4 linked regions of the Nothobranchius furzeri genome follow. The main gene of each other region encodes a partner of the protein of the gene in region 3 in a complex. Links are inferred from orthologs where the notes say so. Each region holds a gene or a part of one and is shown on either strand. Other genes may lie near its edges.

Region 1 (4,142 bases), on a different chromosome or scaffold from region 3:
AATTTATTAAAAGTAACTACTTACAAAAGTTACAATATTCAGTGTCTACTTAAAATGATCAGAGGGGTTGTCCTGGACTTTTTACATCACTAATGAGTAAACAAAGGAACAAATATTCCCTATTGCCCTCATCTCCAAACGAGGGCAAAGATAACTGATCATGTCTGTTCTCTGGTCAAACTGAGAAACCCAGTTGAGCTTAAAAATATCAAATAAACGTGTTACAAAAAACAAAGACAGATGACAATGGAAGTTATTATAAAAGCTCATTTTGTTACAAACAGCATTTTAGAAAATAATAAATGTAAGTTAATGTGGAGTCCTTTCATTTTGGCTTCAAATCTGACAAATTATTTACAATTCTAAAAACTTTGTTGAAAGGCAACTTAAAAAACAGCTAGATTTATGAGGCTTATGTGTAGTAACTATTGGAACTACTGCCAGGGTATCAGTAGCACAAACATAAAACTTAGGACTGAAAACTCAGCTGTGTCTGAAATGACAAAATTGCAAAACAAAACAAACACTAAAGCGCTGCAAACAGAAAATAAAACTATTACAGGTGTGTTTGCGTTTTCAGCCTGAAATAAGATGAGATCGGAATCTACAGTTTTGCTTAGAGCAAACACGATTCTGATAAAAGTTCATTTTAAACATTCCAACAATGTTTTTAGTGGAAAATCCTAAACATGTGGTTGATTTAAAGATCTGTAGAAAATGTGTCTGATTGAGGGAACGTTAGTTTTGAGTTTGCGTGATTCTTCAGAAGTCCTGACAGATGTTCTCCTTGTTCTCGTCTCCCTGCTGTTGCCGGAGCTGACCTACTTCATTCTCCAGCTGGACTATGGCTCTCTCGATCTCGTAGTTTTTACTGACCAGAGACACCCAACTGTCAAACAAAAACACAGATGTTAAGACATCTGGAAACAACGTGTTCTCTCCACACAGTGACATGGAAGTTGTTCAGAAGACACACTTAGACTCCAGCTCGCGTAGTTTGGCCCCCGCTGCCAGCTGATCATTCTTACGCTGCCAGTTCAAATCTTGAATTTGCTTCCTGTCAACCAAAGTAATTGTTAAGCTTCTAAATATGAATTCTCAAAGCCCTTTAAATTAGCAAACAATGTCCAGGCATCGCAATTCACCTGAATTTGTGGAGTTCCTTTTGAGCCATCTCAATCAGAAAAGCCAGATTACTGTGGAAGGAGAACAAAAAAAATAATTAACAGTCTTCAAATAAAACAATGGTACTATTTCTGAAAAATAAAAGCTGCCATAACTCACTCATTGTAGACTTTCCATGCATTTGTTCCATACTGTGACATGAGCTCCAGGTTCTCAATGCGAACTGCTTGGTGCTCCAGCTGGGCCATGGAGTTGTTCACACACTCTTGCCACGCTGTAATGTCATTCTTCTGTCCTGAAGTTGGAGCTGGCAGCTCGTATCTTCACAGGCAGGAAGATATTAGAACATAATGTCCATATTTATTAAAATACTGAGCAAATGATTTGCAAAGCAAACATATATCTTGCAAGGCAACTACCACCAGAGCAGTTTTTACCTTTTCATGCTCAAAAGATCCATAGGCGAACGTGCCGCTAACCGCTCAAATTCGTTTCTCATAATTTCTGTCTGGAAGGGTGAAAACAAAGTGCAGTAAGTTCTGTGTCAAAGTCTGAAAGTCCATAAGAAGACCTCACATTTCTAATTAGATTCTTACCTCAAAAGCAGAGAAGTCAGGTGTAGGTAGGTAGCTCAGGTAGTTCTTCGTAGGTCTGTACCTTCTTGTCTCCTCCTCAACCAATGCAGCTGCCTAAGGGATCAAACAGGGTTTATGTTTGGTTCTGCAGCTTTAAAACCAACTTTCTCATTACTATTCTACGGCAATGCCCTGTCAAGCTTAATTCGCTATTTTGTAATAACAAAGGATGACAAATATTAAATACATAAATAAACTAATATATGAAGACTAAATCTGATTTTAGGTTTACAAGGAGCAAGAAGTACAAAAAGAAGTTATAAAACATCCACATAAAAGCTCCAAAGATGCCTAAAATGGTACTTGTCTATGACGTTGTTTACATCCTTATTTACTAAACGCAAATACAGATAACCATTTGATCACTGTTCACAAGGTTTAATGTGGCATTATCAACTATACAATTCAACAAGTTCACAGTTTGAATCTGAAAGATTCTAGGTGTTAAAATCTCAAATTATGCATCTTTTCCCGTGCCAAACTCAAAGGATAATTAGTCACATTAGAACCCAAATAAACCAAATTTAAAGAAAGGAAACATGTCATAAAATGTCTCTGCGACCTATTATGCAAATATATAAAATTTATATTCGTTTCATGTTGTTTTAACAAAATTCGTGCATTTGTTGAGATTCTTTGGTTTCTTCGTCTAGCAGTCTATTACGCACTAATAAACACTAACCAGCTATATATAAAAATAAACGCGTTAGTTTGGTCTATACAAGTAATATTAATTTAACAGTTAAAAGGCCATCGACTTTAAGGATTAATGAAAGTTTCCATGTAGCGTGTTGGCTAACACGCTTCTGATAGCAAACATTTTTTATTTCACTCACCGCCTCTCTGACACCTGGCGCATCATAACCTTGGTCGAAATACGGCAAAGCATCAACAAACACTTCACCCGCTACTGAAGCTGTCCCGGCCATTTTAATGAGTCTATTTACTGATTAATTTGTTGATTTATTTCTTCCTCGGCGGCTAGTAGCTAACTGAACCCAAGTTCTTTTTCCGGTGAAGAGTTTCAAAATAAAATGTCCTACATTTTTTTCCGTGCTCATACATAATGCTTACGGTTCCGTGTTCGATAGGAATGTGACGAAGGCAGTGCGTGATGAAGATGCACATCGAAGATGCGCATAAAAATACAGTTGAACTCCAACTGTGACCTGTTTTCCCTCTACCCTAATTTTTAGTAAATTTTCCTTGAAACCTTATGTACAAGACCCCATATAAAACTGTGCAAACGTTTTAAACCACCCATAATTTCTTCAAAACACGATTCCAAGACGCAACATTTCCTTGTAATATTTTAATATAGACTTAGTTTTAGAGGCTCCAAGAAGGTTCTTTTAAATGCGCGCGCGCGCGCGTGTGTTTAACGAGCATTAACGTAATTTCCCATTTTCTGTTTTGTCACCTGACTATGACAGCATTGGACCATTTTTTTAATGTAGAAAAGTGGATTGGTAGAAGACACAATTGAAGAATTTGGATCACTGACCCTGCCACCACCACAAGCCATATGTGTGCTCCATTTTTTAAATCAAAATCACATTGGCACCAGATAATATCTCATCCACACCAGATAGTTTCTCAGAAATTATCTGATGCAGACTGATACTATCTGGAGTACATGAGATCTGATGCTCATATGAATCTCTAGCCTGGACAGCCATGCCAATGTGTAGAATAGAAAGGGGGTAAGTCTGGCTGGTGTGCACAAAATACCAGCCTTTTTACCCACTTCAAATGCAAGAAATACATTCCAACAAAAATCAGAGATTTTTAAAAAAAGTATTCAATTGATTGATTGACTGAAAACTTGAGAAACCCATCCTCTTTCATTTGATCATCTCCACAGGTTATCTGAACGATGTTTTTTTTTTTAATTTTTTGGGGGGGATGATTTAATTAATTAAATAAAACATTTGGTTAGTATTCTTTAAAAGAAATATCAGTAACCCTATGATGAAACCTAAAATTAACTACTTTTGGGCTTTTAAGAGGAGATCCTTTCAGTATAGATGAGCTCTCGAACACTCACAAATTGATAAGTTGGCCATGAGTTAAAGCTGCTTTAGTGAATCTACAGTACAAGCTAGGTTTAGAGCGCAAACACCATCACAAAACACGCACCCTCTTCCCTTGTTTACCTTCCCCGAGATACTTCTACTGGAAATGGACACCTGCGTTGCCAGAGTAATTAAACCGTCAGTCACCATAAGTCTAGACATCTTTTGTTGTCAGCAACTTCAAATGGCATTTTTCTTTTTGAGACTTTCATATTTTGTTCTAAAGTTGAAGTGGTAGCAGCCAGCTGTTCCTCCTCTGATATTATTGAGCTGAGCACCTCTCCCACCAGTGTTCTGTTGCAAAATA
Region 2 (3,996 bases), on a different chromosome or scaffold from region 3:
ATGTACCGACACCGGTGTCGGTACAGTATCTGCTCGGGTGCAAGATCGGCTCGGGGTCCTTCGACTCCCGATGACGTCAAAGTACGGCAAACCGACTCGGACAAAATGCACTACACATCTATACTGTTGGAAAGAATTTAGCACTTTCGTTATTAAAATAATGTTTCTTAAGACATAAGTTTGTGTTTATAATGGTATTTGTAAAATAAAACACTATTTCTTATATATCTTATTCATAATGTTGAACTCCTCTTTGAGCACATCCCTTGGCTTGAAGAATCATAGGTATTAGCAACACCTGTAAAATTGTATTTGCAGGAAAGAAGTGTGTCCCGTTTATTTAAGTATTTTGTGTTTAGAGTTGTTGACGTCTTGTCATAGACTGTAGCTGCTAGCCAAAACTCTGGAGTTAAAAGTTTTCTGGCTTTACTAAAAAACCTGTCTGTACTTATTTGATTGATGGTATTTTTACTTTCTATTAGACTCCAAATGTAATCATTTGGCACGTTTGTAATTCATAATTTGCAATAATGTAATCGGCGATATTAGCATTAGCATTCCTATGGGTTTTTCCATGTATATTAGCATTGCGCTAACCACTCGCTGCCAAATTGCAGCCTTTGAGATTAGAAAATCTCCTGGCTTTACTAAAATACCTGTCTGTACTTATTTGATTGATGGTATTTTTACTTTCTTTAAGACTCCAAATGTAATCATTTGGCACGTTTCTAATTCATAATTTGTAATAATGTAATCGGCGATATTAGCATTAGCATTCCTATGGGTTTTTCCATGTATATTAGCATTACGCTAACCACTCGCTGCCAAATTGAAGCCTTTGAGATTAGAAAATCTCCTTTTGTCACATCGCAATTTAATTGCACATGCAGTTAATCGTTCAGCCCTAATATACATGCAGCTCTATGCTAAAAGTGTATTTTCAAAGAGGTAATGATGGATTTCTTTGTAAAAGTTGTCCATCTTTCCAATGGAAAGATTTGCCTGGACCAACGTAACGTGATAACAACGTAACGTGATTGCGTATTTCCGTAAGGTTCATGTTCAGCCAATCAACTACTTAGACGTCATCGGCAGTCGACGGACCCCGAGCCGATCTTGCACCCGAGCAGATCCTGTACTGACACCGGCCCACTCGGCATTGACCTCGGAGAGTGAGGAGACCCATCCAATATGGCGGCAAAGCTCTCCATCGCACAATGGGGCGTCTACGTATTCATTTCTATGGTCTACGTAAGGAGCAGTCGCACGATCAGGAAGTGATGTAATGCCGCTGTGCGCATGCTCAGTTTATCCAAAAAGAAAAACTTAAACATGTCGCTTACTAGGTAAGTTCGTTGACAAGGCCTTGTCTGTTTATGCTATTTAAAGAGCTATTGACTGGGACTCATAATAACGTTTAGGAAAATTACATATTCAGGCTTTATCGCCGAAGTTCACGATTTAATTTTAATTGGTTTAATCGAAGCTAGCGGCAGTAGCCGAGGCTATCGTTTAGCTCGTCGGCTAAACATGTAGCATTAGCCATCTTGCAACACGCAGTCGTTGTCGCTGAGCAAGTTAGTTTTTCGGTCAATTTCATCTTAATTATGGCTTTCATTTGACCAAATTGTAATATTCAGTCATTTAAATTCATGATACTACTATTTATATTGAAGCCCTGGGCTAGACGAGCATTGATGTTTCCCCGTGTTCTTCCCCCTTCCTGCTTGCATCTGTTGTGTAAAACGATAAAATAAAATAAATTAAAAGGCTGAAATCAAACTGTGCAGAATTTAAATTTCGTCTTTGGTCTTTTCAGCCGGGGAAACGCATCCTGGTTAATGAATGAGATTGAAAGAATGTTCTGACTGTGCAAAGGAAAAATAAGGCGATTCACTTCTAAAATACTGACTTCTTCATGCTTCCTGGGAGAACTCTTCACGGGAGAGCTATTCTCATGTGCTAAAATGTGCACACACTTTATTTAAGCACTTGAATTGCTTTAAACTGCATGTGACATTTGTTGCAGGCTAGTAACAATTACTTTGAGATAAGTGGGGAAAAAAGATATTCATGATAATTATCTGTAAGGTGCAACAAAATGCTATGAATTCTTGTTGAAAGTGCTAGAATGGGATTTTTTATTATTATTTTATTTTAGAAAATCGCATAATACATGATTGCATGATGTGCCCAATCACCAATACCCTTCTGGGATTCTGTCATAGTGCTTAGATCAGTCCTGTTATAAATATCTTATGTATGTTTATTCTGTTTTTCTCTTCTTCCTAACAACTTTACTTGGTTCTTTTTCAAACACGGCAAGAGTTGTTATACCCTGTTTTTGCTGAAGTTTCGGCTAATGCTGTCTCCTTCCTCAGAGCGTGCTGCTGTTGTCGGCGTCAAATACTTCTCCGTTCATCCTGTTATAAATATTTACTCAGTCTTTGATATTTCACATGTTTATTGCTGAAGCTAATTCACATTCAGTATTATTTGACTTGTCTGACATGAATTGTCAAATTAAAAACACATTTTGACAACAAGGAAGAAACTTGCTTCTTTAAAGTAAAAGCAATTAATAAAAATATACAGCATAATAAAGATGATTTATAAATATTCCCCTTGCATGGTGGCAGTGGCATCAAGCATCACCAGCAATCAGACAAAGGATAGAACGATGTTTGGAGTGGCCCTGTCGAAAGTCCAAATTGTTATTATTGGCATTACTAGTATGTAGTCTCTCAGTATCACAATAAGATTACAGTACATCAAATGTGTCAGTGTTAACTTCTGGTAAAGCATAAACATGACCAAATCGGCTCCTGTGTCCAAATAGCTCAATTATTCCCCTTTGTGTTTATATTTATTGTCATTAGTGGCTAATACTAGTTCACTTAACACTTTTTAATTTGTTCTTCTTTGTTCATGAAGCTTTTTACCAGCGCCAACACAGCTGTCTCAGGACCAGCTGGAGGCAGAGGAGAGGCTATGCGCCCAAAAGGCTTACTCCACCGCTCTGGTTGCGTCCCGTAGAGAGCCCCCTCCTTATGGACACAGGAAAGGCTGGGTACCCCGCGCATTGGAGGTAGTTCCCACCATTAAGGCTTTAGAAATGGAACAGAGCTTTTGGCTTCATAGCCACACTAAAAAAAATCTTGGTGTGGTTTTAAAGTTGGGTGTATCTATTTTTCCAGGACTTTGGAGATGGGGGGGCATTCCCAGAAATCCATGTGGCTCAGTTTCCTCTGGAGATGGGCAGGGGGAAGAGAACGTCCAATGCCCTGGCTGTGCAAGTGGATGCTGAAGGAAAAATCAAATATGATGCCATCGCCAGACAAGGACAGGGAAAGGACAAGGTATGTTTGGTTATCATTGCCTTTTTTGATGTGTTTATTTGTAGTTAAGTGGATTCAGACAAATCCCATAAACCTGATAATGATTAAACTTTTCACAATTAAGTTGGCTTATGTCTTATTAGAAGTTTTTATTACATACCTGCAATCTTGTTGCTTTAGGGTGAAAATTGTCATTTTTGAAGCCAAACAGTAGAGATGCACTGAAAGGAAAATTCTTGGCTGAAACCAAGGCCAAAAACCACAACACTGAAATAAATGATGTCAATATTTAGAACCATAGCATGGGAAGGACTGTGCATTATGTAATATTGCATTTAATGAACCACGGCTGCAAATGTAATTCCTGGTGAAGTTATTACTTTACACCGGCAGATAGTGGAGATGTGTAACTGTAATCTGAGCAACACTTTTGGGTGTTTCTACTGATGTTTTCAGAGTTTATAGAGTTTAAACACTGCCCTTCGTACGGAGGTGAGGAGCGGAGCTCACAGAGGTCAAATCTATTAGATCTATTATTTTATGTTAGAGTGGAGAGACTTGCGATGCTGACAGGTCTGCTCATTGTTGACAAAGCTCTTTGTCTGATAATGGCTGACTCCGATTCTGGAGAGAAATATTCACCATCTGATGAAGAAAT
Region 3 (4,244 bases):
ACACACACACACACACCTTATTGGATTTCACCCATGTACAGACGTTTATCACTGGAGCCAGACAGCACTGCAAAGACACAGAAAAGAATAAATGAGTGACTTTTTCTTGTGTTTGGTTCCGGTTCCTGTTCTGTCGCTCACCTATGGGCTCCTCTGGGTGAAACACCACCTCGTTAACAGAACCGGCGTGGCCCGGCAGCTTGTAGAGGATCCTGCGAGACGTGGTGTCCCAGATGTACACAAATCTGTAGCAGACGCACAGAGCGGGGAACAAAAGTGGCTCTCAGTGCCTTATCTTTACTCCGTTTGGGTTTAAAAAGTCACCAAAGCGTTTCTCACCGATCGGCTGATCCTGCGGCTACTTTACTGCCATCAGTGGACCAGGAGCACCTCAGCAAGTTCTGAATAAACAGGAAAAGAGGACATGAGAAGAACACAGACCCGGAGCTTTCACAGCTAAAAAGCGGTTTTCTTTAGTCCAGATATGTACGACTTCTCAGATTGACCTAGAAGTGAATTGTTCATTTGTCTGCTAGTGAAGATTACCTTTTCAAAGTTGTGAACATTACCCTGGAAAATCTTCACGCACCTCTCCTTGGGTGCAAACGGCCGCACGTCCCAAATTCGCACTGCAAAGACACGCGAGACTCTTTGAGGGATGCGATTCAAGCACAGATGAGCAGGATCAGAAGCCGAGCATACCAGTGTTGTCCATGGAGTTCGACAGAAGGTATGACCCCTCGGAGCTCAGGCTGAGCCCGGTTACAGAGTCCCCGTGTCCATGCATGTTGTAGATCAGCTTGTTCTGTCGCAGATCCCACACCTGAGCAACACAAAGCTTTCAGATCAACGACCAGGAGAGAATTTTAGGCTGGAGCCGATTTGTTGCCTTCGACATTTCACATTTTTGCAACAATCAACAAAAAATAAACTTGCGTTTGGAGTTGAAGCAAACAAAAATGTAAACAACCAAGGGCTGACAATAAATCTCACTGAACATCTTCAGTCAATCAACTTTAAAATGGCTGAAACAGAGCATCACTGCAACCATCTGCTGTTGTTAAAGGGATTAAAATGTTTAGTCTGACTTTCTTCAAGATAAACAGTTTAATGAGTCCCTTTAAGAAAAACTGTTTTTTTAACCTTGATGTCGTTGTCGATGCCTCCAGACAGGATCTGATCACTGGTGTCGTTAAACGTCACGGCCAGAACCTGGTAGGTGTTCTGAAAGGTGTGGATGGCTCCTTTTTTGCGGATGTCCCACAGCTAGAAAACAAAAAACATCAGGCTAAACAAAACGTGCAACAATGTAGGTGTGTGTGAACGGTGTGTGTTGGACCTCATTTTCACAGCAAAACACCCAGAAAACAGCCTGACCTTGATCGTCCCGTCGTCGCTTCCTGTACAGACCAGCTGAGGACCTCGGCGAGCTGGATAGCAGGTGTTAACAAAGGAGGTGTGTCCCTTCAGACGTTTGACCCTCTCACCTGTCTCGCTGTCCCACACGCCAACAGTCTTGTCCGTGCTGGCTGAAAACAACAAGCTGAACCACACAGACACCTCTGTATCACACTTCTGACTCAAGTTCCGCAATAATCCACCAGATATTAGTTGATCATATTCCACCGTCTCTACCTGCCATCTGTGTTATAATGCAGCTCCATCACCGCTCCGCTGTGACCCTTCAGGGTGGCGTAATTCTCACAGTCTCCATACACGTTCCACAACACTGCAGCATGGTAACAGAGATTTTAAAGCGGTTTTAACAAACATATGTCTGCTACTGTTTGACACAAACTTACATATGAGTCTGTCGAATCCTGAAGAGGCCAACACAGCTCCATTGGGGTGAAACTTGCAGCAGTAGACCTCCCCCTCATGGCCAGACATCAACATGATGGGAGCCTGCATGCTGGAGGTGCGTGGATGGCCCTATGGGGATCAGTGATTTAGGTTTGCAGCATTATGGTGCAGAAACAACAAGTGGTACTTTACTTTAAATGCATACGAGCTGGATGACTTGCTGAGATCTAGCAAAGAGAGTGAAGTAAATGCTCCCTTTAATCATGTAGGAGCTGGAAGTAGATCCTAATTGCACCAGTGGCAATTACAATCTGGTGTTTCCTTAAGCTTGCATTATGATAAAAGGTGATATCTGTGTATATATATTTTACCTTTGATGCACAAGTGAACTCTGATCATCTTGACAGTTTATTTATTTATTATATATGCTTTGTTATTTGAATCAAATATTAAAAAGGAAGGCTGTTTTAATAATAAATATTGTTACCAATAAAATACATAATTACAATAACCAACACGCTCTTGAAAATAGTTTTTTTGCATATTGAATTCTATTGTCAACTATTCTGATGTTTACATTAATCATGAAAACGTGACTAAATCTGCTTACATGGTCCGGTTAATGAATACATAAGTCCCCGGCTAGCATAGCTTGCCCTTTTCTCAAACTTAAAAACATAACTACTATAAAGGTGGTAAGTATGATTTAATCTTGAATGTAAACGCAGTCGGATGTCACCAGGGCTACGTTACCGTGGCCACGAGCTGCTGAGACTGAGCCGCCGCTACTAGCTCCATCCGTGGCCGCTTCAGCGCAGTGGGAACCATCGCCATGTCTCCGGGTCTCTTTAGAGGTTCAATCATTGCGGGGAAAGTTAACAAAAAGCGGCTAAATAGAGTAAATGCAAAGCTAAAACTTAGTAAAATTAACGGACGTCTTCGACGAAAGACGTCTGAGGAAACAAAACCACCAAAGAAGACAGACACTGAAGTACTTCCGGGTTCAAAGCTCGTGATTGGTGGAAATTTGCGCAGGCTGCAGTGATTGGCTGATTTTCTTCCTGGCGTCAATTTGACCTGGAAGTATAACTAGCACAGTTTAGTCGGTGGAAAAGGTATTGCAATTATTTTTATTTCTTAAGAGTTAGAGTCACATTACGCAAAATATATTAATTATAGCACAATTGTCTGGTTTACTAATGTATCATAGAGCAGTTTAACAGGAATAGGTTAGAGGGTTTTATGTAAACACCAATGCTCGTGTTGCGTTTATCCTGTTCATGTTTCCAGAGATATTGTCTCCTATAGTTTTTACTCCGCTCGAATTAATGTAATGGAAAGTGAAGTTTGAGGTAAGATAAATCCATGTTTTGAAAATTAAAACTGATTTACAATATTAATAATTCTATTTGTTCGTTTTTGAGATTAGCCTAGTTTCTTTAAATCTGACAGCTGCAATTTTTGTCTGTGTTCTTTGTTTTTATTTATTTTTTTGTGTTTGGTTCTCAGTCTGTTTCACATGTATGGAGTGTTAGAAAATATGCAGTTACCGTTTAAATAAAATTTAGACCATGGCTGGTCTTTTTAGTCTAGTTTTAATATTATTAAACTGGGTTATTTGAGCTTAATTCTTAATGAAAACGAAGAAAAAACATTTTAATTGAAGGATAACTTCAACTGAACTTGATTTATTGCCTACTCCTGACTTGTGAAAACATAATAGTTGTCGTAGAAAGTAGTTTTATGGATTTTTATTTAATAATTTTTATTCACAATATAAATACTTAAATTTATTCTGTTACTTTGTAAAAGGAACAATATTGCTTTTATTTTGGGTTTCTTTAACTTTTCCTCGTCTTTCGTCTTTTATCTGTGTTGTGTTATTGAATTGAAATATATTTAATCCTCCAACTGTTTGCCCAGATTGAGACGATGTCCAACCGTGACCGCTCGAGTCGAGAACCAGCCGGGCTGGATGGTCTGCCTCCGATGTACAGCATCGCCAAGGGAGAGGTGGTTTCAGTGCAAACATATGGAGCTTTTGTTCGACTGCCTGGTTACAGGAAGGAAGGTTGGTAGAAGGCTGAGAGCTTGTAATCTTTAAAAATGAAATACCAGTATTAGTAATATTAACCAGCTGAGTGAAGTGAGTCCTTTAAAGCAGTAATGGATCTGTAAAAAGAAAAATAGGAGATATTAGATGACTACAGCTAACTTTATATTTTTTATTTAAAAAAAACGTTTTCATTTAATACCATATATTATAATTTTAGTAGCAGATGCAGCACTGGGAAGCATCAACGGCTAAAATAGGAAGAAGTTTGTCCCAAACTTTTTATACTTCATTATCTCTGATGATAAATTCTAATTTTAGTGGTTGCCCTAAAATATTTTGCCACTAGATGGAAAAAAGATAAAAGGTTTGGGTTCTAATTTGAGTA
Region 4 (4,147 bases), on a different chromosome or scaffold from region 3:
ATCCCGATGGCCGTCTGCACCCCCTGCATCTGCAGCTCAGCCTGTCTCACCTGCTCCTGGCTGCAGCAGTCCTGCAGGAAGACCGAGGCCAGGTTGCGCAGACGGGGGCTCTCTGCGAGTGAGAAGCGCAGCATGCACTGAACGATCCCTGGCTCTGTGATCTGAGAGCAGGTCGCTGGTGTGGTGAGGTTCATCAGGGTGGTGACGGCAGACAGCACCGTCTCCTCCCTCCGGTTTGACAGGTGGTTTGTGATCAAGCTGATCCCATCGTTCTCCAAGATGATGTCTCTGCATCCAGGGTCCATACTGAGGTTACACAGACCCCCTGTCAACACAATATTTGAGTTTAGATGATTTTTACATAAACAAACATGATTTACTGTTTTAGTTGGAGAGATGCTCACCCATCCCAAACTCCACAAAGTTCTCATTCTCTTCGGTCAACATGTCCAGGAACAGGTCAGGAACCTGCAGCTCCCTCAGGTACTCCATGTTCTTTGGGTCATATGCAAAGTTGGCTAGATTTGCCAGAACCTGCTCCTTTGCCTCTGATAAAGAGAAAAAGTAATGAAACAAACAGAGATACCTACATCCACTAATTCACCTTACACCAGCTCATTACAAACAATGATAAACAGAGGCTGCAGCACAGAAACAGTACACATTTATACCACAGGGGGCGCTTTTTACTTTCACATCAAAACACCCTTCAGGCTCAAATGTGGAGCTGACAGTATAAAAATAAGATTTGTCTGTAAACTAGAAAGGCGAGGCAGCTTTATTTGTGTAGCACATTTCATACACTGAAGCTATTCAATGTACTTTCCAGGTGCATGACCAGCATGATCATAAAAGATTAAAATCAACGTGACGACGTAAAACAGCAGCTTTTAAATTCAAATTTTAAATACTCTAATAAAATTAAATGTAAGAAATAAAATAAAAGACAAAGTTAAAGACTGAGCGCAGAAGGTACAGCATGAGAAATAATCCTTCAAAGGCTGATGAATGCATGAAAGTCTTCCATTTTGACTTAAAAGTTACTAGAGTTGGGGCACATTTCAGGTCATAAAGAAGCTGATTCCATCTGTGAGCAGCATAGTAGCTAAAAGCAGCTTCACCCTGTTTGGTTCTGACCCGAGGTTCTACCAGCTGACTGTTTCCTAAGGATCTCAGAGCCCTGCTGGGTGTATATATACAGGAAGGAGATCCAACATGTATTTTGGCCTCATTTATAAACTAGCAGTAGCACTTAGTAATCGTTTCTATAGTTTAATGGCAGCCAGTGTAGATATTTACAACTGGATGGATGGATGTGGAACTAGCGCATTATTTAATTCATCACATTATCTGGCTACTTATTTTTAACACCGTTTTTTTAAAAATAAAAACAAGCAGCTTTCTGCGGTAAAATCCAACAGAAAATGTTTACTTATGGCAGTAATCTCAAAGTGAACTAACATGTAGAATGAACAATCAGAATTTGGTTAAATAACGTCACTTTTTGGTTTCCAAATACTAAGCTTACATTTATTTCATGTCACAACGATACACTTTCAGAATAAAACTTAAAACGCTGCTTAGAATTACAGCTTATTTGATGTATTTGTTCACTTCTACCTGATTTAGTCATGTTTACAGATTCTTTTTCGAAAAATTTTAACTTCATGAAGTCATTTGCATGTATTTGTGATCTTTTTGTCTTCTGAACACAATTCTAATGCTGATAGTCAGCCTTTCTCCTATTGCAATGGATAAAAACTGGTCTAACATATATACAAATGTTCTTTTGACGATTTTTTTTCTCTCACTTCAAATAAATATACTGATGGAGAGTACAGTTTTCGACTGAACAACGGCTTCTGAAAAAGCCCTCTAACGATATAAATAATAGTGATGTGTCAGTCCGAACGAACCGGCTCTAAGAGTCGGCTCTTTGAAGTGAACAACGGGAGCCGGCTCATCATTGGGAGCCGTCCCCTCCCCTCCCCCCTCCCCTCTTGCTTTGGTGAACGCTACAGGCGATTGGTCAACATGTGTAACTGTGTGACCAGACTGTCCACACACAGAGCAGTAGGGACGGGGAAGAGGGAGAATCAGACTCAGACACACAGCAGAGCACATGCAGGTGGAGGTAGACGAGAGGGAATGAGGAGGAAAAAGGTGAGCGAGATAGAGAGGAGAGTGTGATGAAGACGGTGAGAAAATGAGCGCCAGCAGTCGGAAAGTGACAATTTCTTAAAGTGTTCAGTTATTAAATCCATAGAAATTATAAATATTTGATATATTGCATTTTTTTTTACATTAGTAAATAATTTTACATATAGTTTTGCATTATTTTGGTTATAAATGTACTCTACGAAACAGAAAATCTGAGGAGCCATTTGGGAGCCGAAAGAGCCGGCTCTTTCTGGTGAGCTGAGCCATTCCCATCACTAATAAATAATAGCATGCATCTAAACTGAGGGTGTTGAGAGTCTACGTGTTCGTTTTAAAACGGTTTTTATTTTAACTTTGTAGAACACAGATCAAAGGTTATTCCTACCTTCACTGTCAGTGTCCTGAAATTCAGTAACCAGCGTCTGTAAATATTCAAACCGTTCAGGCGCTTCAGCTGACTCATTTCTCTTCATCTTTTAGCAAAAACACATTTAACACTTCAAATAAAATTCACACAGATATCAGATTATGCTGATGTTTAAGTTACTTGACCGTTCATAGCTGATTCAGAGGTTGTTTTCATTTCACGTATGGGTCCGCGGCTCATAAGTGTTCGGAAAAACTGCGCAAGTAGATATTTGTTCCGCTGTTTTATCAAAACTTGTTTGTCCGTGAAGATGTGTTCCCCGTTCACTTTCGCATGATTTAAAGAGTAACGCATTTTTAGCTACACGAAATCGTAACATCGTTGCTATAAACTCGCCTATAACGTTATAAATGCTAGCATTGCTGTCACAATTGTGCAATGAAATACGCGAGAGCTACGCGAGCCGATGAGGAAACACATTTTAAATGGTGTACAGAGATTGATACAACACCGGCAGCTGAGCGGAAGTTAAGGAGCAGAAGGTGTGTTTGTGTTTATGTGCTCGTACAACAGCACATAACGCACGTTGCGGGAGGTCAGCTTAACAAAAACGCTATGTCGCTTTGTTTATTTAAGTAAAACAGCAACAATGAATCACCACCGGCTGTCCGCGAGAAAGCGCCTCGCCAAACCCATTTTGTTCGGAACTCTGCTGGTTGGACTCGCCACTATTTTCATTAACAGGTGAAACTGAGCTTTGCTAACTGCGTAAAAGAAACACACGCACAACACATTTCACTGTAACACCGGTGTGACGGTGAAACTGTCATTGGAGACTGAAGCAAAAATATTAAATACTATGAGTTAGCAGCAAATCGTAAACATATTTGCTTGTCGTTTATGCAGACACAGGTTCCTTGAAGACGTGGTTGAGCTCAAGGCCCAGGAGCGAGAACGCAACTATGCCAGGATGATGGAAGTCCTGGAGAGGAGGGAGAAACAGAAAGAGCTGGTGGAGAAGAAGAAGCAGCAACAGACAGGAAGTGACTGAACATATGAACTTTTTGCAGACGACTGATGCTTTACAGGCCATCAGACATTACAGTCATCCAGTAAATCAGTAAATTATAAGACTGGATGGAAGTTCAGCTGAGCAGGAACCACGCTTTTAAATTTTGACACTCGTGTTGGTCAAGCGGGAGCAGAATTAACCACCATCTACATAAATAGCCTTATTTTTAACTCGAATCATCTTTAATTTGTCTTGTTTTTTTTATCTTTGTGATTACTGTCTGTGATGGGTGTTATATAAATAAAATGTACTTACTATCTGGGAAAAACAGACTAAACCCCTAAGCCAAACAGAAACAGTGGGAGAAAAATATTACTGGATAAACGATTTTTTTTTTTATCAGGGTTGAATTAAAACCAAAGTATCAGGACTTGTATTTTGTCATTAAGGTGTATCAAGTCTGAGATATAAATTTTAACTTCATAATGGAGAGGTTAGAGAAGATTTTGAAGTTTTAATCTCAGTTCAGCTCAAATTAATATGCTAAAGTTTAAACTCCCATTACAAACAAATAAAATTCAATAAAGACTTCAATCACATCTTTTATT

Evidence for each region. The genes of interacting proteins can lie anywhere in the genome.
Region 1: snrnp40 (region 3) and bcas2 share a complex: the UniProt entries of both Homo sapiens proteins name them as parts of the postcatalytic spliceosome P complex. The link is inferred for Nothobranchius furzeri from reciprocal best matches to the Homo sapiens genes SNRNP40 and BCAS2.
Region 2: snrnp40 (region 3) and snw1 share a complex: the UniProt entries of both Homo sapiens proteins name them as parts of the minor spliceosome. The link is inferred for Nothobranchius furzeri from reciprocal best matches to the Homo sapiens genes SNRNP40 and SNW1.
Region 4: snrnp40 (region 3) and armc7 share a complex: the UniProt entries of both Homo sapiens proteins name them as parts of the minor spliceosome. The link is inferred for Nothobranchius furzeri from reciprocal best matches to the Homo sapiens genes SNRNP40 and ARMC7.

What each region holds. Positions count from the first base shown.
Region 1 is NC_091755.1:51,937,692-51,941,833, reverse strand, and holds bcas2 (pre-mRNA-splicing factor SPF27), read right to left. Parts: upstream 2,801-4,142; 5' UTR 2,690-2,800; coding exon 2,597-2,689; intron 1,815-2,596; coding exon 1,722-1,814; intron 1,634-1,721; coding exon 1,563-1,633; intron 1,447-1,562; coding exon 1,285-1,446; intron 1,197-1,284; coding exon 1,146-1,196; intron 1,058-1,145; coding exon 977-1,057; intron 890-976; coding exon 763-889; 3' UTR 254-762; downstream 1-253. UniProt on the Homo sapiens protein: Required for pre-mRNA splicing as component of the activated spliceosome. Component of the PRP19-CDC5L complex that forms an integral part of the spliceosome and is required for activating pre-mRNA splicing.
Region 2 is NC_091742.1:20,646,544-20,650,539, forward strand, and holds the start of snw1 (SNW domain-containing protein 1), read left to right. Parts: upstream 1-1,196; 5' UTR 1,197-1,299; coding exon 1,300-1,346; intron 1,347-2,934; coding exon 2,935-3,088; intron 3,089-3,197; coding exon 3,198-3,359; intron 3,360-3,996. UniProt on the Homo sapiens protein: Involved in pre-mRNA splicing as component of the spliceosome. As a component of the minor spliceosome, involved in the splicing of U12-type introns in pre-mRNAs.
Region 3 is NC_091759.1:20,973,024-20,977,267, reverse strand, and holds the start of snrnp40 (U5 small nuclear ribonucleoprotein 40 kDa protein), read right to left. Parts: upstream 2,801-4,244; 5' UTR 2,668-2,800; coding exon 2,557-2,667; intron 1,933-2,556; coding exon 1,803-1,932; intron 1,730-1,802; coding exon 1,636-1,729; intron 1,544-1,635; coding exon 1,378-1,543; intron 1,267-1,377; coding exon 1,144-1,266; intron 824-1,143; coding exon 703-823; intron 630-702; coding exon 547-629; intron 402-546; coding exon 340-401; intron 246-339; coding exon 142-245; intron 68-141; coding exon 18-67; 3' UTR 1-17. Other genes in the region: zcchc17 (zinc finger CCHC domain-containing protein 17), read left to right, coding at 3,736-3,874. UniProt on the Homo sapiens protein: Required for pre-mRNA splicing as component of the activated spliceosome. Component of the U5 small nuclear ribonucleoprotein (snRNP) complex and the U4/U6-U5 tri-snRNP complex, building blocks of the spliceosome.
Region 4 is NC_091756.1:50,515,091-50,519,237, reverse strand, and holds the start of armc7 (armadillo repeat-containing protein 7), read right to left. Parts: upstream 2,801-4,147; 5' UTR 2,768-2,800; coding exon 2,708-2,767; intron 2,634-2,707; coding exon 2,546-2,633; intron 549-2,545; coding exon 405-548; intron 326-404; coding exon 1-325. UniProt on the Homo sapiens protein: As a component of the minor spliceosome, involved in the splicing of U12-type introns in pre-mRNAs.